Mus musculus: one gene and its partners. Each later gene encodes a partner of the first gene's protein in a complex. Links are inferred from orthologs where the notes say so. Each region holds a gene or a part of one and is shown in the gene's direction. Other genes may lie near its edges.

Evidence for each region.
Region 2: the proteins of Keap1 (region 1) and Fbxl17 are in contact, whole or in part, in a crystal structure (PDB 6W66), measured with the Homo sapiens proteins. The link is inferred for Mus musculus from reciprocal best matches to the Homo sapiens genes KEAP1 and FBXL17. Residues at the interface, in NP_036421.2 of Homo sapiens: His59, Thr60, Ala63, Ile66, Met67, Glu69, Leu70, Gln75, Leu76, Gln82, Lys84, Ala90, His96, Val98, Ala101, Ser102, Ser103, Ser104, Pro105, Val106, Lys108, Ala109, Met110, Thr112, Asn113, Gly114, Val122, Ser124, Glu126, Gln163; in NP_001156787.2 of Homo sapiens: Asp395, Arg397, Arg421, Lys423, Asn447, Gln473, Tyr475, Met524, Arg548, Asn572, Cys574, Leu575, Trp577, Glu596, Tyr598, Val600, Ser601, Asp623, Trp626, Lys628, Tyr647, Met651, Arg652, Val676, Leu677, Asp679, Cys680, Thr683, Leu684, Arg686.
Region 3: the proteins of Keap1 (region 1) and Ptma are in contact, whole or in part, in a crystal structure (PDB 2Z32), measured with the Mus musculus proteins. Residues at the interface, in NP_001103775.1 of Mus musculus: Tyr334, Ser363, Arg380, Asn382, Arg415, Phe478, Arg483, Ser508, Gly509, Tyr525, Gln530, Ser555, Ala556, Tyr572, Gly574, Phe577, Ser602; in NP_032998.1 of Mus musculus: Gln40, Asn41, Glu42, Glu43, Asn44, Gly45, Glu46, Gln47.

What each region holds. Positions count from the first base shown.
Region 1 is NC_000075.6:21,230,916-21,237,465, reverse strand, and holds part of Keap1 (kelch-like ECH-associated protein 1), read left to right. Parts: coding exon 1-395; intron 396-3,392; coding exon 3,393-4,078; intron 4,079-5,563; coding exon 5,564-5,769; intron 5,770-6,039; coding exon 6,040-6,216; intron 6,217-6,550. UniProt on the Homo sapiens protein: Substrate-specific adapter of a BCR (BTB-CUL3-RBX1) E3 ubiquitin ligase complex that regulates the response to oxidative stress by targeting NFE2L2/NRF2 for ubiquitination.
Region 2 is NC_000083.6:63,496,630-63,503,979, reverse strand, and holds the start of Fbxl17 (F-box/LRR-repeat protein 17), read left to right. Parts: upstream 1-3,399; 5' UTR 3,400-3,962; coding exon 3,963-4,955; intron 4,956-7,350. UniProt on the Homo sapiens protein: Substrate-recognition component of the SCF(FBXL17) E3 ubiquitin ligase complex, a key component of a quality control pathway required to ensure functional dimerization of BTB domain-containing proteins (dimerization quality control, DQC).
Region 3 is NC_000067.6:86,523,472-86,530,507, forward strand, and holds the start of Ptma (prothymosin alpha), read left to right. Parts: upstream 1-3,085; 5' UTR 3,086-3,434; coding exon 3,435-3,479; intron 3,480-5,701; coding exon 5,702-5,773; intron 5,774-5,984; coding exon 5,985-6,081; coding exon of another isoform or gene 6,082-6,085; intron 6,086-6,259; coding exon 6,260-6,333; intron 6,334-6,493; coding exon 6,494-6,541; 3' UTR 6,542-7,036.

The sequences.
Region 1 (6,550 bases):
AGGTCAAATATGAGGACATCCCAGCTGCCCAATTCATGGCTCACAAAGTGGTGCTGGCCTCCTCCAGCCCAGTCTTTAAAGCCATGTTCACCAACGGGCTTCGGGAGCAGGGCATGGAGGTGGTGTCCATCGAAGGCATCCACCCTAAGGTCATGGAAAGGCTTATTGAGTTCGCCTACACGGCCTCCATCTCCGTGGGCGAGAAGTGTGTCCTGCACGTGATGAACGGGGCGGTCATGTACCAGATTGACAGCGTGGTTCGAGCCTGCAGCGACTTCCTCGTGCAGCAGCTGGACCCCAGCAACGCCATTGGCATCGCCAACTTCGCGGAGCAGATCGGCTGCACTGAACTGCACCAGCGTGCCCGGGAGTATATCTACATGCACTTCGGGGAGGTGAGTGAAGCCGGGCTTTGGGCTCAGAAGTGGGATAGGCCAGCGTGGCGTTCTCCCCTGCGACAGGCTGGAGGAAAACTGTTGGGTGTTTTCTTTTTCCTTCCTTCTTTTCTCCCATAGGGTCTCATGTAGTCCAGGCTGGCCCTAATCTGGTTGGGTATCTGAGGATGACTTTAAATTCCTGATTCCTGTCTCAGTCTGTCGAGTACTGTAGTTACAGACGTTCGCCCTCCCAATACTTAATAGAATGGAGGCCAGCAGTGCCCCGGAACTTGATTTTACTTTTGTTTTTAAATCTTTTTTAAAAAATTATTTGCCTTTAGTTTCTGTGGATTGGCGTTTTGTCTGAATGTTTGTCTGTGTGTGAGGTGTCAGACCTTGGAGTTACAGACAGTTGTGAGCTGCCATGTGGGTGCTGGGATTTGAACTCGAGTCTTCTGGAAGAGGCCAGTAGTACCCTCAACTGTGAGCACCTGTGGTCTTATTTTTTGACAGTATTCTTCTTCTTCTTCTTCTTCTTCTTCTTCTTATTATTATTATTATTATTATTTTGGTTTTGGTTTTTCAAGGCAGGATTTCTCTGTGTAGCCCTGGCTGTCCTGGAACTCACTCCGTAGACCAGGCTGGCCTCGAACTCAGAAATTAGCCTGCCTCTGCCTCCCAAGTGCTGGGATGAAAGGCGTGCGCCACCACACCTGGCTTGACAGTCTTCTTTAGCTGAAGCTTTTTTGTTTTATTTATTTTTGTTTTTCAGGACAGGGTAACAGTCCTGTCTGTCATGGACCTCAATGTGTAGACCAGCCTGGCCTTGAACTAACAGAGATCTTCCTGCCTTTGGGAGTAAAGGCCGCATGTGCCACCACACCTGGCTATTGAAGTTGCTTTTTGTTTTGTTTTGTTTTAAGTCCTGTCTTTGCTGTCACTTTCTGAGTGCTGAGTAACACCAAACTCTGAAGAAGTTAAAAAAAAAAAAAAGATTATATTTATTTGTGTGTGTATACATGTACTGATCTTGTGTGCAAGTCGGAGGACAAATTGCAGGAGGTGGCTCTCGCTACCTTATATACGTTTCTAGGTTAAACTCAGGTAGGCCTGGCAGAAAAGTGCCTTTACCCACAAAGCCACATTGCTGGCCCAAAAACTCAGATTCTGAGCCCCTAATCCAAATACAGAGAGCCCTTAGGAATAGGTAAAGATGTGCCCTCCCAGTGCCTCAGCAGCCTGATCTCCCTGGGGTTAAAAGTTGTGATGGCCAGCCTGAGCTACACAGCGAGACTCTGTCTAAAAAAAGTGGTGTGTGTGTGTGTGTGTGTGGTGGTGGTGGCGGCACTCAGGAGGCAGAGGCAGAGGCAGGCAGATCTCTGAGTTCATGGCTAGCCTGATCTACCAAGGGAATTCCAAGATAGCCAGGGCTACAGAGAGAAACCCTGTCTTGATCTCCTCCAGAGCAGGGCAAAGTGTGATGAGCAGGCAGGCACCAGCACCCGCCAGCCTCACCCATGCAGGCTCCAGCTTTGCTTGGCTTTCCCTGGGTTCACTTGGTATTGCTTTCATTTTCGTTTCTCAGTGCAGGAAGTCTGCAAGAGAAAGTAATGGGACAGTGCTGGGGAAAGCCTTGCTCTTGGGTGGCAGTGACTAGAAAAGTCCCCTGGACACGACTGCATTCTGAATATCACCAACTCTGAAGTGCACCCAAGGCTTTTGAACACCATGTGCCGTCCACACCTGACCTCACCAGATGGGTGGCAGTGACCGCACAGGCACACTGTGCATAGGGCATACCATCTTCAGAGGGCCCATGTGCTGCTGGATTGCTAGGACACTTTCCCAGCATGCGTGAAGCCCTGGGTTCCATGCCCACCTCACATAAACCAAGTGTGGCTGTGCACACCTTTAATCCCAGCACTGGGTAGGCAAAGGCAGGCAGATCTGTGAGGCCAGCCTGCTCTACATAAAGTTCCAGGCCAGTTACACACAGACAAACACACACACACACACATACACACACACAGAGAGAGAGCCTTGAAGCTGTGTAAGGTCAATATGGACCAGCATAAAAGTAGTTTGTTTATTTATTTAGATTTTTGAGATAGCAGGTTGTCATGGCCCTTGGCTTTTGTCTGAAACTCAAGATTCTCACATGTCAGGTTCCCAAGTGCTGAGACTTGACATGGGCCTTGATGGCTCGAGTGAAGTTGTTTATACCATACTCTTATTCCTTAGGTGTCTCATCATTTGTGTAAAATATTCCTACATCTGAAAAAAAACAAGTGCCAAGCTGTAAACTGCCAGTCATTTTATGTTTTATTTTTATTAATCTAAAAATTGTATTGTATTGTATTGATTTAGGGGGCAATGTGTGTGCCACAGTTCATGTGGAGGTCAGAAGACAACTTGCAGGAGTTGATTCTTCCAGCATATGAGTCCTGGGGTTAAATAAACAAACAAACAAATAAACAAATTAAGAACCCAGTGCCTTTCTGAGCTAGTAAAGGCACTCACTGCCAAGCCAGAAGACCAGTCCCAGGAAGGTGAGACCCCCCCCCCATCAGACATGAGTACATTCACACACATACACAATAAGCCAATAAGTAAATGTAATTAAAAACTATGTAGAACAGGTGGCCTGGAACTCACAGACATCTTCCTCTCCCTTCCAAGTGAATATTAGTCCAATGCTGGGATTAAAGGCCAGACTAGGTTCAATTGTTTATTTTGATATAAGATCTTACTATGTTGTCCTAGCTGGTCTGGAACTGGCTTATGGGGACCAATCTGGCCTTGAATTCAGACATCCTCTTGCCTCTGCCTCCCCTGATATGGGGGATTATAGGAGTGTGCCACTACACCTAGCTATATATATATTTTTTTAAAAAAATTAAAACTAAAATCAATACAGGAGCCTAAAGAGTCCACAGTGTGTGGCCTGTGTGACCCCCGGTGTATGGGTGCTCGGCCTGGATGGAGGGCTTCCCTTCTCACCTGAGCTCCCTGCAGGTGGCCAAGCAGGAGGAGTTCTTCAACCTGTCACACTGCCAGCTGGCCACGCTCATCAGCCGGGATGATCTGAACGTACGCTGCGAGTCCGAGGTGTTCCACGCGTGCATCGACTGGGTCAAATACGACTGCCCGCAGCGGCGCTTCTACGTGCAGGCACTGCTGCGGGCCGTGCGCTGCCATGCGCTCACGCCGCGCTTCCTGCAGACGCAGCTGCAGAAGTGTGAGATCCTGCAGGCCGACGCGCGCTGCAAGGACTACCTGGTGCAGATATTCCAGGAGCTCACGCTGCACAAGCCCACGCAGGCAGTGCCCTGCCGCGCGCCCAAAGTGGGCCGCCTCATCTACACAGCGGGCGGTTACTTCCGACAGTCGCTCAGCTACCTGGAGGCCTACAACCCGAGCAATGGCTCCTGGCTGCGCCTGGCCGATCTACAGGTGCCGCGCAGTGGGCTGGCAGGCTGCGTGGTGGGTGGGCTGCTATACGCTGTGGGCGGCCGCAACAACTCTCCGGATGGCAACACTGACTCCAGCGCCCTGGACTGCTACAACCCCATGACCAACCAGTGGTCGCCCTGTGCCTCTATGAGCGTGCCACGCAACCGCATCGGGGTGGGGGTCATAGATGGCCACATCTACGCAGTCGGGGGTTCCCACGGCTGCATCCACCACAGCAGCGTGGAGAGGTGAGCACCGGGGGCCCAAAGAGACGGTACCTGTTCTTGTCCCTGCCTTCATATGAGGTTGAGCGGCTGGGATGTTCATTCTCAGTGTCCAGAGTTGGGAAGTACTGGAGGGGGCTGTCCCAAACCTACAGGAACCACCGCTGCACACTGGGGGTAGTAGGAATTACTCTAATACGTGAATTATATTGTGCAATTTATAATTACTTTAAAAGGTATCATCTGAACGGGGATGTAGTTCAGTGGTAGTGCTCTGGTATCTTTCTTTTTAAAAAGATTTTATTTATGTGTATAAGTACACTGTAGCAGTCTTCAGACACACCAGAAGAGGGCGGCAGATCTCATTATGGGTGGTTGTGAGCCACCATGTGTTTGCTGGGATTTGAACTCAGGACCTTCCGTTGGTACTCTTAACCACTGAGCCATCTCTCCAGTCCTCTGGTCTCTTTCTTGAATCCAGGGTTTAAGGTCTCATCCCCAGCCCTGCCAAAAGGAAGGAGGGAAAAGAAGAAAAAGGGCTGGGGGTGTGACTCAGTTGGCAGAGCACTTGCCCCGCGTTCAGGAAGCCCTCATAAACCCAGCTGTCATCCCAGCGCTCTGGGGGTAGAGGGAGGAGAATCAGGAATTCAATATTTATCTTTGGCTGTATGGCAAGTTCAAGGCCAGCCTGGGATATAAGAGACCCTGTCTCAAGACAGACAAACAACCCCCCCACACACACACACACAAATTTAGGGCTTGGAGCAAGGGTAAGAAAATGAGAAAAAATTTTAATTTTGTATTTGTAGTGCTGGGAATAGAACCTAGAAATCTATGCTTGCTAGGTCAGCTGTCTACCCCAAGCTAACCCCGCCCATGCCTGAAAATGGAAATGTAAACAAATGTGCTAGGGGCTCTAATGTGTGTGGTCTGTGAATAGGGTGGCCCCTTCAAGGACTGTAGGATGCAGGGATGGACTGGACGCTGCTGGGCTAATGGGGCGTGTTCACCCATCTCTGATCATGTTGCTCAGAGAACCACCTGGGAGACCCAGTTAGACATTTGGAGTTGAACACCTGCCCAGATGTCACTTAGTGACCCTGGATGTCCTACCCCACATGTCTGTAGCAAATCTTGTGGTGTGAGGCAATGAATCCTGCTAGGGGTGAAGTGCACAGGTGCTGCAGCCCTAAGGGGTAAAGCCGTCTAGGCTAGAGGGAATTGCTGTTGCTGTCAGTCATAATTGATGACAGTGAACCTGGATTCTGATGACCCCTCACTTCTGGAGCCAGGCCTGGTGCTGCACATCCTTCATCTCTCCGCACTGGGGAGACTAAAGCAGGAGATCGCGGAGAGTTCAAGGCTAGCTTGAACTACATAGCAGGGTTCTATCTCAAAACAAACAAAAAACCAACCAAACAAAAACCTAAAAATAAATGTGCAAGCAGATGGAGGGCCGTGGTGTAAGGGTTGACCACGGGTGACCACGGGGTATTATGTCTTTTGCAGATATGAGCCAGAGCGGGACGAGTGGCATCTAGTCGCGCCAATGTTGACACGGAGGATTGGCGTGGGCGTGGCAGTGCTCAACCGCTTGCTGTATGCAGTGGGGGGCTTTGACGGGACTAACCGGCTTAACTCCGCAGAATGTTACTATCCAGAGAGGAATGAGTGGCGGATGATCACACCGATGAATACCATCCGGAGCGGGGCCGGTGAGTGGGGGGTGGAGTGAGGACAGCCCAGCCCAGCGAGGAAGCGAGGAAGCGTTTGCTTTACCCTCCTCCCTCTGTTACATGACTGAGGCTGCCCTCGAAGTCCTTATGTCGCTGAGGTTGACTTTGAACTCCTGATCCTCCTACTCCAGCTTCTCCAGTGGTGGAGGGAAGGGCAGTGGCTACTAAAGTCCCTTGTCCAGTGGCCCTGCCCCCACCCCCCACCCCAGACCAGGCTTACGGTGACTCCCACTGTGCGCTTTCCTTTAGGGGTCTGCGTGCTGCACAACTGTATCTATGCAGCAGGGGGCTACGATGGGCAGGACCAGTTGAACAGTGTGGAGCGCTACGACGTGGAGACAGAGACCTGGACTTTCGTAGCCCCCATGAGGCATCACCGTAGTGCGCTGGGGATTACTGTGCACCAGGGCAAGATCTACGTCCTCGGTGAGGCCCTTGGAGGCTGGATCAGGGTGAAAACCACACTTGAGTGTCCATATCTTTTCTTCTCCAAGTTTTGGTGCTGAGTATAAAAGCCAGAGAGTCCCGAATGCTTGGCAAGTGTCCTTTAATTGTGCCCCGCCCCACTGGGGGATTCTGGGCCGAAGCTCTACTACTAAGCCGCTCCCCCACCCACTCTTACAACACTTCCCACCCTGTACCCCACCTTCACTGGGAAGTTTAGGCAGGGGCTCTAGACTGAACCACATTCCACCTCCAACCTATCCATCGCAAACAGGGGGCTTCTTTTCCCTTCTGTTCTCTGCCGCCTTGCGTGGTA
Region 2 (7,350 bases), on another chromosome or scaffold:
TATGATAGGGAAAACCTTCAGCTTTGTGGTTTAGAAAATCAGAATAGTAAGAGTCATGACTAACACCATAAAGGCTAACGAGGACAGTTAGGAATTAAATATTTAAATTGTACTTTGTTCAGAGTCAGGGACCCGAGAGGGCACCAGACTAACACCTCAGAGGTCATGCTGCCTGCATCTCCTCTCCAGCCATCAGATTCTGCAGGGAGCCGCAGTGGTATGGGTACATAGTCTTCATTTAGAACTCACTTGTTTTCTTTCCTTCTTGTCAGCCATGTTTATGAGCCTTGTGATGTCCGTGTCTCTCATTGTCACCCCTCGAGTTCTTTTCTCATCTTATGGACATCTGGCTTCAGGCACTTCTTGAAATGCTCAACCTTTTGTGTGTTGGATCTCAACCTTGTACTTCTCTATAGACACCTGGGCTGGCAGCAGGGATTAACTTGAAACAAACCATTAGTGGTGACTAAAAAGCTATTAATAGCATGTATGCCCAGATTCCTTTCTATAATATTAGGTACAAATGTGCCCTCATAATACAGAATGTATTATCCACCTCTTCTGTCCACTATGTGTCTAGAGGAGGTTCTTGTGTTTGATGCATTCAGACATGATTGTGGAAGGCTCTTACTTCCATCTTTTTTCTATGGCCACATTGGTCATACATGACATTGATGTTTGGTGATTGCTCATGCTTAAGAGAACATGTCATTTAGCTGACAATTCCAGACCAGATGCTGTTAGACCACCAAGGGTTACCTGTAAGCACCAGTCTAGTCTCTCACTATTCAGGATTATGGGGTTTATTCATTTTTAACAATCAGCTGCCAAAACTCTTGCTGATAGTTTCATTTCTTGAAAATTTCTTGGCATTACTCTTTAGGGTAATGAGTTCTTACAGTTTTGGTGATTATTTTAGTTATTTCTCTATTGCTTTGATAAGAAGACACCATGACTAAAGTCACTCATAGAATAGTTTATCTGGGCTCACCATTTCAGGACTAGAGTCCTTGTTTGCAAAGTTCAGGGCATGACACCTGAAGCTGGAAGCTAAGAGTTCACATCCCGAACTTGTTGGAAGCAGAGAACACAATCTGAGAATGGCACACAGCTCTGAAACCTCAAAGCCTGCTCCACAGCTCTCCCATCAAGGTTACTGCTCCTAGATCTACCCAAGCAGCAGCACCAGCTGGGGTCCAAGTAGTAAATGTTTGAGTTTACAGGAGACATTTGTCATTAAAACCACAATGACAATAATAGTGATTTACTGTCCCCTCTCCCCACTCCTGTTTTAAAGAGTGACTGTAGCCCAGGCATGCCTTGAATTGGTGACAATGTTCTTGCCTCAGCCACCTGAGGGCTGGTATTAGAGATGTGGAACCCTAGATGGGGAGCTGTGGTGTGGTGAAGAAAGAGTTAAGTGTAAATGTTTAAGTCTGAGGAATTCTGTTTTGTTTTCTCAAGAAGATCTATGTGGGTGAAGGAAGCAAGCAGTCAGAACAGACACACACCTTTCTAACTATCCAACACAAATGTCACTTCTCAGGCAGAATTCAACAAGACCAAGGGCAACTTGTTCACTTCTGACTGGCTAAGGATTATAATAGCTACCGTGAACTTCAGAAACTTAAAAGTCTCAGAGTCTGCCTACCTCATCTTTAGAAACGTTAAGTTGCAGTTCGAGTGCATATGTGCCCCTGATGGGTATGCATGGTGCCAGGCTCTCTATAAAGGACTTGCTAAAATCAGGAAGGCATTCTCGTTTCTAACTCCACAGTCTGATTCAACACACATTTATGAGATCCATTCATATTCTATTTTATTTTTAATTCAAGAGTAGTGGTGCACTGAATATTCCAGCTTCCTCATTCTCCCACTGACAGACATCTGGGCTCCTTGAGAGTTTTGCTCTCATCAGTACATTTGCGTTTCCATACAAGTCTTTTTGCAGACAGGACTTTATTTCTCTTGGTGAACACAAGATGTGGGTCTTTATGTGCCAAAGGGTAGACGAATGCTTGACTTACAAGAAACTGACAGGGCTGTACTTTCTGCACAATTTTAGCTTCATTTGCTCTAGAAAAGAGCCAAGCCGAGATGGCCATAACTTGACGATTCACGAATGGAGCTCTGAGAGCCTGGAAGACCCTTTCCTCGATTACAGGCAGAAGAACCATGGGCATGTGGGGGATATCCGTAGGTGAAGGAGTTCAGACAGCACATTTGAGAGTAACAAATATGTGAATATCTGGACAAATCTTTTTCCCATTGGTTTTTGAAATTCTGATATCCTCAACTCTCTCCCCGGTAGCTTTTGAATATACCCAGGGAGTATATTCTTCAGCAGGGAGGGGTGGGGCTTCTTTTAATGAAGAGTAGAAACTGCCAGAAACAAATCACCTCATTTCTTCGCAGCCTTTGTTTCTTTTCTGCCACTCCCCCCACTGACACTTTTTCTAAAGTCCTCTCCACTGCCTGATCCACTGCTTTGGACTCTTAGCATGGTTTCAAAGTTCCCTCCAAAACTTACCCTGAAATTTGCTACTGTTAACAGTATGCATGCAACATTCCTAAGGGGGTCCTTTAAGAGGTGATGAGGACACTAGAGTTCCGCCCTCCAGGAACAAATTGTTACCACAAGAGTAGGTTCCCGATAAAAAATGATAGACAGTTTCCGGCGCTTTTACCCTGCCACTTAGCTGACACTGCATGTTATTCTACTTTCCAAAGCCTCCAGAGCGAGATAAACTTCTTCATAGTTTACTGTTGTATGTAGCATTGTTATAGCAGCAGAAGAGACTAAGACAACTAACTTTCCCTACCTTCTCCCCTGTGAAAGCTGACCTCTCCCCATCCGAGAACCTGTGTCATCACTGTAACTTAAGACTTCTGAAGTCTGATCAACTTGCATGTTTTAGTTCCCCACCTTAGCCACCAAAGTCTGTCCTAAGGGCACCACACTAATATTCACAGAGTGGACAGACTGGATTTCAAGGTGTCAAACAACAGTAACATTGAGCTTGGAGCCTGGAATGTTGGAGTGTTTTTTCCAGCGTGTATACCTGTTTTCAGCGTGATACATGTTTTCAGCCCGCAATTGTGTGCAAAGGCAGCAGTATGCAACAGGTGCCTAGACACAGGAGTAGAATCAGTGTAGTCACCTAGCTAACGGATCCTTACTGGACTGTCACCCATCACCCAAGGGCTCAGGCCTCTCAGGTGGAACTGGTTCTTCCGTTCTCAATTGGCCTCAGTTTCCGAGTCAGGGCGATGGTGGGGTGGGAAGTGAAGGGGAAGAGCCAAGCTGAGCCTGGCCAATGGCAGCTCTTGAACTTACACCTCCAGACGTCAGCGCGGCCGTGGAAACGGATGTCACCCAGCTGGCTCGGAAGCGTCTCCATCCGCTTCGGGAGAGGGGCGTGAGCCCGGAGGCGTCCAGGCCACCTCCGTGTGCAGCCGGAGGGAGTGCGCGGCCCCGTCAGCGCGCAGCCCCGAGGTCCCCGCTTCTCCCCCGGCGGCGCTCCCGCCCCTGGGTGAGACCCGCGCGCCCCCGCGGGCGGCTCCGCCCCCTCCCGGAGCGGGCGGCGCGCTCCCGCGGCGACGGGCCGTGTCGCGGGCTCGCGCGCCGCCGGCCCAGCCGCAGTTAAAATGGTCCGAGTCGGGCCCGCGCTGCCCCCGCCGCGGCGCTGACTGACTGAACCGGCTGGCCTGGCCGGCAGACTCGCTTCCCTCCCTCGCGTCCCCACAGCTCGCGCCCGTCCTCCTCCCGGCTCCCCGGGGGGCAAAGCATGTAGCCCGCGTCGGGCACCCGGGCGGCCCGCAGCTGACGCCCACCCCCGCCGTCGCGTGTGCCGGGTGCGCGGCGCGGGCGACCCAGCCAGCGGCCTGCCCCGCCGCCGGAGCCCGCCCCTCGGGCCTCCCTCTCCCGCCCCGTCCCGGTCGCCCTCCTCGGGGCCTTCTATATGGGCCACCTTCTCTCGAAGGAGCCGCGTAACCGCCCGAGCCAGAAGAGGCCTCGCTGCTGCAGCTGGTGTCGCCGCCGGCGCCCTCTCCTCAGACTGCCCCGCCGGGCTCTGGCCAAGGCGTCCCCGCAGCCCGCGGCGCCCCGGAGCCGGGACTGCTTCTTCCGCGGGCCCTGCATGCTCTGCTTCATCGTGCACAGCCCCGGCGCGCCCGCCTCCGCCGGCCTAGAGGAGGAGCCGCCGCTCTCGCCACCGCCGCCGCCGCCGCGGGACGGGGCCTACGCCGCCGTCTCCTCGCAGCACTTGGCGCGGCGCTACGCGGCCCTGGCCGCCGAGGACTGCGCCGCCGCCGCACGCCGCTTCCTGCTGTCCTCGGCCGCCGCCGCCGCCGCCGCTGCCTCGTCGCCCGCGTCCTGCTGCAAGGAGCTGGGGCTGGCCGCCGCCGCCGCCTGGGAGCAGCAGGGCCGGAGCCTCTTCCTGGCCGGCGTGGGGCCCGTGCGCTTCCTGGGACCGCTGGCCGCCGTGCAGCTCTTCCGGGCACCGCCGGCGCCGCCGCCGCAGGCCGAGCCCGCCACGGCCCTCGAGATGGTTTGCAAGCGGAAAGGGGCCGGGGTCCCCGCCTGCACCCCCTGCAAGCAGCCCCGTTGCGGCTGCGGGGGCTGCGGCGGGGGCGGCGGCGGCGGGGGAGGGCCCGCGGGAGGAGGTGCCTCGCCGCCGCGGCCGCCCGATGCCGGCTGCTGCCAGGCCCCGGAGCAGCCCCCGCCGCCGCTCTGCCCCGCGCCCGCCTCTCCCGCCTCAGAGTGTGCCCCCATCGTGGCCGCCGCCGGGGACACAGTCCGAGCCGGGGGCACCGCCCCCTCGTCTGCCCAGCAGCAGCCCGAGAGCGGCGACGCGGACTGTCAGGAGCCCCCCGAAAACCCCTGCGACTGTCACAGGGAGCCGCCCCCCGAGATCCCAGACATCAACCAACTGCCGCCGTCCATCCTGCTTAAGGTGGGTCTGGGCGAGGAGGCGCAGGGATGCTCACTCCCCCCCCCCCGCCCCCCTAACCCGGCTCCCCCGCCTCCGAGGCTTTCTCTCTCCTCCCCCTGTGTGCAGAGGAGGGGGGGGGGTTCCCTGACAGCCGGGGGACGCCGGAAGGGGAGACTGGGAAGCCAGTGGGGCCTGAGCTTTCAGCCTGGTGTTGAAGTAGGAAAACTTGGAGGCTGCTGAATGCCTCGAAGTAGCTTAGGTCCTACAACTCGGGGTTCATGCATTGCATTGGCAAACCCCCCAATATAGATACTATACTAGATTCTGTGGAATATACACGCATTTCTTGAGCAAGTTGTATACAGTGGGCAACCACTTTGCATACTGGTGTTTGGAAAGTTTAAAAGTTTGATGGATGCTAGTCTAGTGGCAATAACTTATAGTAAGCATTTACCACGACCAGACACTGACCGAGTGAATGGCAGGCCTTGGTCAGTGTGTTCCTCTGTAGACATCTTTTGAGTGTACTGTCCCGAGGACTTGAATCCTCTCTCAGGGAGTTGAGGAAAGGTCTTCCTGAATGGGGGAAGTTGTTTGCTTGCTCCGGAAAACTTGCAAACCATTGGTTCAGAAGCTGATTTACAACTGGTGTGTGGTCTTTATAAGAAATCTGAGAAGCAGAGAGTGGCTCTTCAAAGGTCAGCTCTGGGAATAGCAGTTTTCCCAAGTACTTAATAAACCTGTTAGGTCTCTGGTTACTGCATTGTTCTGAATCAAATAAACTAGCCTCAGATTTTGCTACTTGTTGCTTTTACAACTTGAAGCAGTGTTACATACTGAAACTGCCGCTAGATTTTTATATGATCAGCCATTGGGTAACAGTTTCCTTACTTATTTTCCCTTTGCAATAATGGTCACCTTGAGCTAAACATTCAATAGGAGCATAATGTTTAGATTGTTACCTTGCTCTCAGTGAGTAAGCCTGTTTCCTTCCAAAATGTAGTAAAGGGGAGAACTTGTCTGACATCACCATTAGAAAGCCTTCTCTACAAGTCTTTTCCACTCTGATATGTCAGTAGATAGGAAGTCTTCATTTTGGTAGGTTTGTTTCAGTTGGGCTGGGTTAATGGTCAAGGTAGTTTCCGGAGGGAAGTTTGCTTGGTAGAAAGCCTGGAAAGTTTTAGGAAGGTAGGTTTACCTCATTTCCTTTCTAAGTGGGCTATGTGGTCTTAAGCTAATTACAATACCGAAAAGTGCTGTGTGTTTACTTAAGAATTATGTCAGTTGTTTTGTAGTGAAAGCTGTCAGAGTAGGGTTGTTACCTTGAGTCTTGGCGCTTCAGGTTGTATAAGATGCTGGAGAGAAGGGGTATTTAAGAACTACTTCAGATTAGCATAGTCAGTTCCAAAGTTGGCCAACCTTCTGGGGTATCCTCCCTCTTATCTACCACCTACATATTCAATTCCTTTTCGAAGTGAGTAAGCAAAACTAACCTAGATCCATGTGGATGGTGTCAGTGATGTGTGGGTCAGAAGTGCCATTTACCTTGACCGGAGAGAAAACTGGAGAAGTACTGGTCCAGACTTGTTTCAGCTCGGCACCTTGGACATGCAGAGAACAAATGAGTCCTTTAAAACTGTGCAGTCACTGAGATAGCTCAGCCTGGAAAGGCGCTTACCAGTGAGCTGATGACCTGAGTTCAGTTATAGGAACCAACATGATGAAAGGAGATAAAGCACTCCTGCAGGCTGTCCTGCCTCCACAGGTGACACACACACACACACACTCTCACTCTTCCGCATGTACACACACAGTCTTGTGTATATTTTTATACATTTGTGCACACACAGTGAGCATGTGCATACATACACTTTTCTATGTACACAAACAATGGAATGTAAAAACATTTTAAACTTTTAAAAAAAGTCACACAGATGACTTAGTTTCCTCAAATCTTTATTTTCTCATCTATAAAATCAGGAGAATGAGCATAAAAATATCGGAGAGGGGCCATGGTTGCATGACAAATGAGTCTTTTCCAAGGAAAACCAAACCTGTCCAACCATTTGAGCTCTAGAATTAAATAAAAGACAAATACTCAGGAGGATTTATCTTAGGAAACTGTTTAAAAAGTCAGTAGTGGAATTTTGCAGCTTCTTGGTAGGTGCTCCTGGCATGACCTACACAAGGTCTAGCTCAGTGTAGGACAATAAGTTAAAGCCAGTTGCTAACCAATAGCAGAGGACTTGGTAGGAAAAACTAAAAGGAAAACTCACATAAAGATGGCCTGAAGGTTAGTGCCACTTGGAGGAGTGGGGAAGGAGCTGGAAGTGGAGCAAGTAGCCAGAGGAAACGGGGGGTGGGGGGAAACAAGCAGGGATAATCTTTTCACACATCTTGGTTTATTACAACCGCA
Region 3 (7,036 bases), on another chromosome or scaffold:
TGTGGGGAGGAGGTCACACGTGTGGAGGTCAGCAGACGTCTTGTGGGAATGACTCTCTCCTACCGTGTAGACCCCAGAGACTGAGCTCAGATCCTCAGGCCTGGCAGCACCTTCATCTTGGGCACCACATATGCTGGAAATGACTTAGGAGCCATCCTAGGCTGCAGGCTGAGCACCCATAGAGCCAGGTTGGTTAAATAAACAAGTCAGGCCTGCTGGGGAATGTGTAAAGCAACAAGACAGGTGCCCAGGAAAATTCCCTAAAAATGAACTTGCCCTGAGGCCATGGTGGTTGTTGGTTTTTTTTTTTTTTTTTTTTTTTTGTCTTTGTTTGTTTTTTGAGACAGGTTTTGTCTATGTAGGCTGGCCTCAAATTCATAAATTTACCTGCCTCTGCCTCCCGAGAAAGGCCTGTGCCACCATTCCAGGCTGCCCTAAGGCCATCTGGACCACCTGCACTGAACATAGCTTTAAGGCAGGCCCAGAACACCCTAGACCTGTTTGAACCGACCCAGGGGAAGGGATGTGGCCTGTTAGGACTCACTAGCTTGTTTGGAGAGACTTGGGTAACACCATGGAAGTACTTCACTTCCGGCCTCTGGAGCAGCCTAAGGCCTAAGATACATGGATGAGTGGAAGTACAGACAGTAAGACCAGCCCTCTCACAAACAGCTGAAGAGGTAGAACAACCTGTTAAGGAAAGAAAGGGACTCTTCATAGTCCCAGCAACTACAGCAGTTCCTGGCTCTTAAGACTCCTGTGGCCAGACAAAAGGCCCAGAGGAGACTTCTGTTCCTGGTCTTCTCAAACATACTAGGATAGCGGGAGCTCTGACCATGGCTTATTTGATAACTCTAACTTCCTTTCTAGAACCTATGGATTTTTTTTTCTTTGTATGAGCCAAACACTGTCATGAATACAGCAGGAGGTCCGTAAGCTTAGCTTGAACATAGATAGTGCTTCTACAACCAGATGCGTGGGCCTTCCTCCCTTATGGTAGAGGCACGGGCATGCACAAGACTAGATAAAGCAGTTCTTCTTCGAGGGAAGTTCATACTTATCCAGCTTCTCACTGATTGCCACCTTGCCTCCCTCAGCTCTCCCAATCCAGAACTCAGAAACCACAACTAAGATGTGGGTGGTATAGGCCAAGCTCTTTGTGCATCTGGGTTTTGTAGATGGAACAATCCTCTAGAGAATAACGGGAGCTTAATGGATAAGCACCAGGTAGAAAGCATCCTCCTTTCTGTTTATATTGAAGCACCGTCCCTCCCTATCTACAAAAAAGGGGTCTGGGCAGCTGCAGCTCAAAGGCCCTTCCCTGTTTAAGCTCCATATCCTCATCACAGTAAAGCCCGCTGGCGGGGGTGGGGCAGTTCGGACTCAGGCAGTTTGTGCAACCTAGGGCGCTGGGGCGCGATAACCGTCTCCGGCCATTAGTGTGCTCCGAGAAGAGCGAGACCCCGGGGGCCTTCACACCCTCCCTTGCCAGGGGCTGCCAGGACAGGAGCAACCGCTGGACAACGGGAGTGAGCGCAGGCCAAAGGGCGGCGGCAAGGCTTTCTCCTTAAAGGAAAAGCTCACACAGGCCCAAGCGGCTGGTGGCGGGACTGGCACGTGCGCGCGGGGATGCGGGCCGGCCACGTGCGGCTCGCGGGCCGACCCTGGGTCCAACTGCAACAGTTTCCCGACACTGCACGTTCCTCTCCTCTCCTCAAGCTCCGCATAGGGGCCTCCGGGTGAGGATGGGCCCAAACGCCGGGGGTGAGCCATAAGGGCAGTTCAGTCTCCTCGCCTCGACCTCAAAGCTCTAAGGGACTTGGCACCCATTCACCCTCCCCGATTCAAGACTCCGGGTTTTCCTCACTCCCGATTCCACGGCCCCCAGGAGACAGACAGCAGGAATGACCAATGGCAGGGCGCAAAGCGTCAACTTTGTGTTCGCCCGCCACTCTCAGCCAGTGTGTGCGGGTTTCTCCCAAGTCCCGCCTTCCGTGTCGGGCGCCCCCTCCTGGCGACACACAGTCGGACGCTATCTGCCGCCATCTTGAGTGTGGCGAAGTCGTTTCTCCGAACCCGTTTATAGCCATTCTGGTCGCTCTTCTCACAGGGCAAATTCCTTAGTTCGACAGCCAAGTGAGACAGCGCTAAAAATGGAGTAATATAGTATTTTGAAGTTGTTCGCGTGAGCCGAGTCGCCACGTCACGCCACGCTTGCCGAGTCCAACGCCATCTTGAGTGTGGCGTCTTTATGGTTTTTCTTTTCTCAGGCTCCGCGTGGTACCGTAAATGGCTCAAGTTTGAAGGAACCCCTTCAAGGACTAGTCCTAATGGCCGGGGAGACAAGTTTCTCCCAGTTGCACACTGTTCATATGCCCACTGGAGCCTGCAAAATGTTAGGGGAGAGGGGTAAACTCGATGGCCGGGCGGGGCTCTGGATGATGTTAAGAGCTGTCGCGACGGCAGTGACCTCTTACAGCAGACGCTGACCAGAGAGCCCTGAGGCGCGACACCGCCTTGTGGCGTGAGGCCCCAGGCCTGTCTCGCTCGAGGACACCGGGACTTTCGCATGAGTCCCCCCAAGTGTGCAGGGCGCGAGGCCCACTCCGGAGCTGACCCTGGACGGCGGGACAGTGGTGGGCGGTGGGGATCACTAGTGTCATCGAGGCGGAGGGAAAGGAGGACGGGGCGGAAGGTGCGAGTCACAGTCACCCCGTTGTGTGGACTGATGTTCACTTGAACTGGGACAACTTGCTCTTCGGTGCGGGCAGGTCCCGGGCGCGGGAACCACGCGGGACACCGCCCGGGGCAAGCGCCGCCCATCGCTCGCCTTCCCCTCCCCCTCCCCCTGGCGGGCAGTGCTCCCGCTCCCCCTCCTCCCTCCCTCCCCCTCCTTCTTCCGAGCAGTCGCGAGGGAGGGGGAGGACCGGGGCTGGGCGGGCAGCTTTGCCGCGCTTTAGCTTTCTGCGTCAGAGGCCTTAGCAAAACAGCTGCGGGAGCGCGCACGCGCGCGACCCCCCTCCGGCGTGGCGAGACCCAACAAAATTCAACACTCTGAATGACAGTGCGGCGGGGGACTGCGCAGCGCGCGCCAAGCCGAGGCACTGCCGCTTTAAGCTCACTTGCCCATTGTTCGGAATCGAGCCAATGAGAGGACGCCCGCTCCCTGCGCTCAGCCAATAGCGCCGGGACTAGGGTGGCTGAGCACCGCCCACTAATCTATATTAAAGCTTCTGGCGCCGCGTGAGTCCCCCACTGGCTGCTCCGAAAAGCCATCTTTGCATTGTTCCTGGGTCGTGCTCCGCGCTCGCTGCAGCCACCTTCGCCGCCCACCGCCTCCTCCAGCGCGGACTCCGGCAGCTCTCTCGCCAGAGTCCTCGAACTCGACTTTTAATTCCCTCACTCGCGGCATCGGACCACCGGCGTGCCCCACCATGTCAGACGCGGCAGTGGATACCAGCTCCGAGATCACCACCAAGGTGAGGCTGGACGCCGCCCGCCCCCTCGGGGTCTGCGCGCCGTCGCCCGGGCGGCGTTGGGGCGCGTGGTTGCGGGCTTTCAGGAAAGCATCACGCAAACGCTTTTCCAGGCGACCCCGCCACCCTCCAGCGGCGCGATGGCCCCGGGCAACACTCTTTGTGTGCGGGGGAGGGGGCGCGAAGCGGCGCGGGCATTGGTGCCGCCGTCGGGAGCTGGCCGATGGCCTGGGGTCGCCTCGGAACTCGGACGCAAACGGGGAGGGCCGAGACGCGGATTCTCGAAACTTGTTTGCGAATGGTTTGAGCGCTCTCGGGGCCGGGGTCGCGGGGCCGCGGCGCACGGAAATAACTTTGAAACTCCGGCGCGTCCGCAGTCGGAAGTGTGGGGGGCGCGTGTGCGGCGCCGGCGAGCTGAGGGCGCCCGCGGCCGAGTCGCTCTTTGTTAGGCGCCCGGGTTCGCGCCCTATAGCGGGCCGGCCACCGGTTATCCGGGATGACGCGGATGGGGCGGCGTGCTGCGCTGGGGGGATTCTGACCGCGACACCTAAGGGTCTGGTCCGCAGCCACGGGTGAACGCGGGTGGTCGTGTTTGTCCCCGCGGCGGCGGACCTCGTCGCAGGGTCAGTCATTGCTGACGGGGTTGGGCCCGGGCGGCGAGCCCACGCGAGAGGGGGAGGAAATAGAAAGTGAAGCTGCGGAGCGGCTGGACGCCCCCCCACGGCTCCCCAGCTGCGGTGGTGCCGTGGCGGTCTAGAAGCCCGCGCAGCACCGCGGTCCTGGCTGGGGTCCTGAGGCAGGGGCTCGCCCTCCCGGTGGAGTCTTCTCCACCCTCAGCCGTGTTCGGTTCGGACTCGTTGCTTTCAAACACCTCGATGTTCGCACCCCGCTTGTCCCGCAGTGGGGACTCAGTCCCAGTCGCCTTGTTTCTTTAAACTCCCGTGGCTCGCCATCTCCCTCGGCTGGTGCGACCCCGTGCAGAGCGCGCTCTGGAGCGATGCCCGCCACCGCTGTAACACTTTGTAGCAAGCATGGTCCCACCTCCGCCCTCGGCGGGAGTCTCAGGTGAATTCCCGCGAGGTCCAGCGCTCCTAGGGAGCGCCCCCCCCGAAGGTCTCGAGGGTCGGAGCCGAGGAGCTCCGAGTCCCTGGTGACCTACCGCGAGAGCTTGGCGCCAAAATCGGAGCCGGAAGCCGCGTGTTGCCCCTCACAGGCAGGACCCCAGGGGGCAGCACGGAGCGGGCTTTCTCCAGTGGGTGACTCCGCTCCCCTGGATGAAAGCGGACCTCGGGTCTCCAGGGCACAGGGCGCACTTGGCGCCCCGGGCCACGTGCTCTTTGCGCGCGGTGCGTGCAAGAGGCTCGCGCGCGTAGTTCGCTGGGTGAGCTATGCGCCTGCGCACCGCTGCCACCCCGCCCCCACTCACTCCCCCGGGCTTCGGCCGCCAGGGGGCGGAAGCGGGTGCAGTGGGGTCCTAGGCAGGCCTCCGGTGGGCGCGAACCCACCATTGCCGGCAGGTAACCCAGCGGTGCACCGGCGGAATTAGCTGGACCATGTTCCTGGGCCCCGACCGAGCCGACCGTTCAGCCGTCGTAGTGGGAAAAGTTACCCAGTGGTCCGGCCCCGAAGCCGCAGGGCCCAGAGTGCTAGTTTATTTCCTTTGGGCTGTGGAGGCCAGGAGGTCCCTAGTACCAAGCATGGCTGGTGTGACTTGAAGGGGGTGTTTCTGCATGCCCAGGCGCTTTCCGATCCCCATCCAGACTCTCCCATCCATTCCTGAGCGAATGACCGTCGACTGGCTCCTCCCTTCTACCTTATTTATTTAAGGCACACAGCCACTGCCTTCCAAGAAGGGTTTCTGAGGGGTGGAGCTCCCTCTAGCTGGAAACCGGCGGCAAAGGGCGTGCAGGTAAGGGCTACAGTTCCCGAGCTTGTCTGCCTGGCCTGGCGGGTTTGTGGCTATGATGCCATATGGTAGAGGAGTGCGTTGAGTCGACACATGAGTCTGCCTTGTTTTCAATGTATCTAGAAGATGGAAAGCATAGGATTTGGACTACAGGCCTTGAGTACCTACTATGGTCCATGCTGACATTACCCTAGGGTGGCCAAGTAGCCAGTGACTCAGATTGGTCCTGTGGACCAGCTTTGTCTAGTTTTCAGCACTTTGGCTGATGGGTGGCCCTCTATTGTTCTGAAGACTAACGGGTTTCCTCTTCCTTCTAAAGGACTTGAAGGAGAAGAAGGAAGTTGTGGAGGAGGCAGAGAATGGAAGAGATGCACCTGCCAATGGGAACGCTGTGAGTGTCCAAGTAGCTGGGGCTTGTGTTCCCAGTTTATACTTTTTTAAATTTTCAGCTTAGTTCAGGATGTTGGACCAGACAAGGGAACTTGTCTGATTTTTGTTTGGGAGGTGGTGTGGTAGCTGTATGGTGTGGGGAGGGGCAAGGTGCACTAGATATACAGGCCTGCTTCAGAGCTGGCTAATGGCAGATGTGTTTTCTGTTAAAGCAAAATGAGGAAAATGGGGAGCAGGAGGCTGACAATGAGGTAGATGAAGAAGAGGAAGAAGGTGGGGAGGAAGAGGAGGAGGAGGAAGAAGGTGACGGTGAGTAGTCTTGTTTTCTCAGGTTCCTTCCTTGGCTTTTACTGCCAGAAGGGAGAGGTTGGGTTTCTGGGCAGTTGGACCACTTTGAACTGCAGTGTACTCCACCCTCCTATTGGGGCCGTTCTTGATCTGCAGCTGGGAGGATAGTGGTTTATGTGGGCCTTGATTGATTCTCCAGGTGAGGAGGAGGATGGAGATGAAGATGAGGAAGCTGAGGCTCCTACGGGCAAGCGGGTAGCTGAGGATGATGAGGTATGTGTGAGGTTCCTTTCCTGGGGCACTAAAAGCTTTGGGGGTTTCTGGCAAATGGTGAAGGGTTCTTAGTGGACCCCATCCCAGCTTTGCTCTCTGGGAGTTGTGGGCCAAGGCCTAGGGAGCTTATGTGTAGTCACAGGCCTGATGTTCTCTACAGGATGACGATGTGGACACCAAGAAGCAGAAGACCGAGGAGGATGACTAGACAGCAAAAGGAAAAATAACCTTACGCACCGTGACCTATTCACCCTCCACTTCCCGTCTCAGAATTTAAACGTGGTCACCTTCGAGTAGAGAAGCAGGCCCCGCCCGCCCACAGCGGGCAATGCCACCCACAGATATGACATGCGCTCTCCACCACCCCTCCAAAACTACAACATGAATTGGCAACATGGGAGGAAAAAAGAACCAGAACTTCCCAGGCCCTACTTTTTTTCTTAAAAATACTTTAAAAGGAAAATTTGTTTGTATTTTTTATTTACATTTTATATTTTTGTACATATTGTTAGGGGTCAGCCATTTTTAATGATAACGGGTGACCAAACCAGCCTTCAGAGCGTTTTCTGTCCTACTTCAGACTTTACTTGTGGTGTGACCATGTTCATTATAATCTCAAAGGAGAAAAAAAAAACCTTGTAAAAAAAAGCAAAAACAACAACAAAAAAACAATCTTATTCCGAGCATTCCAGTAACTTTTGTG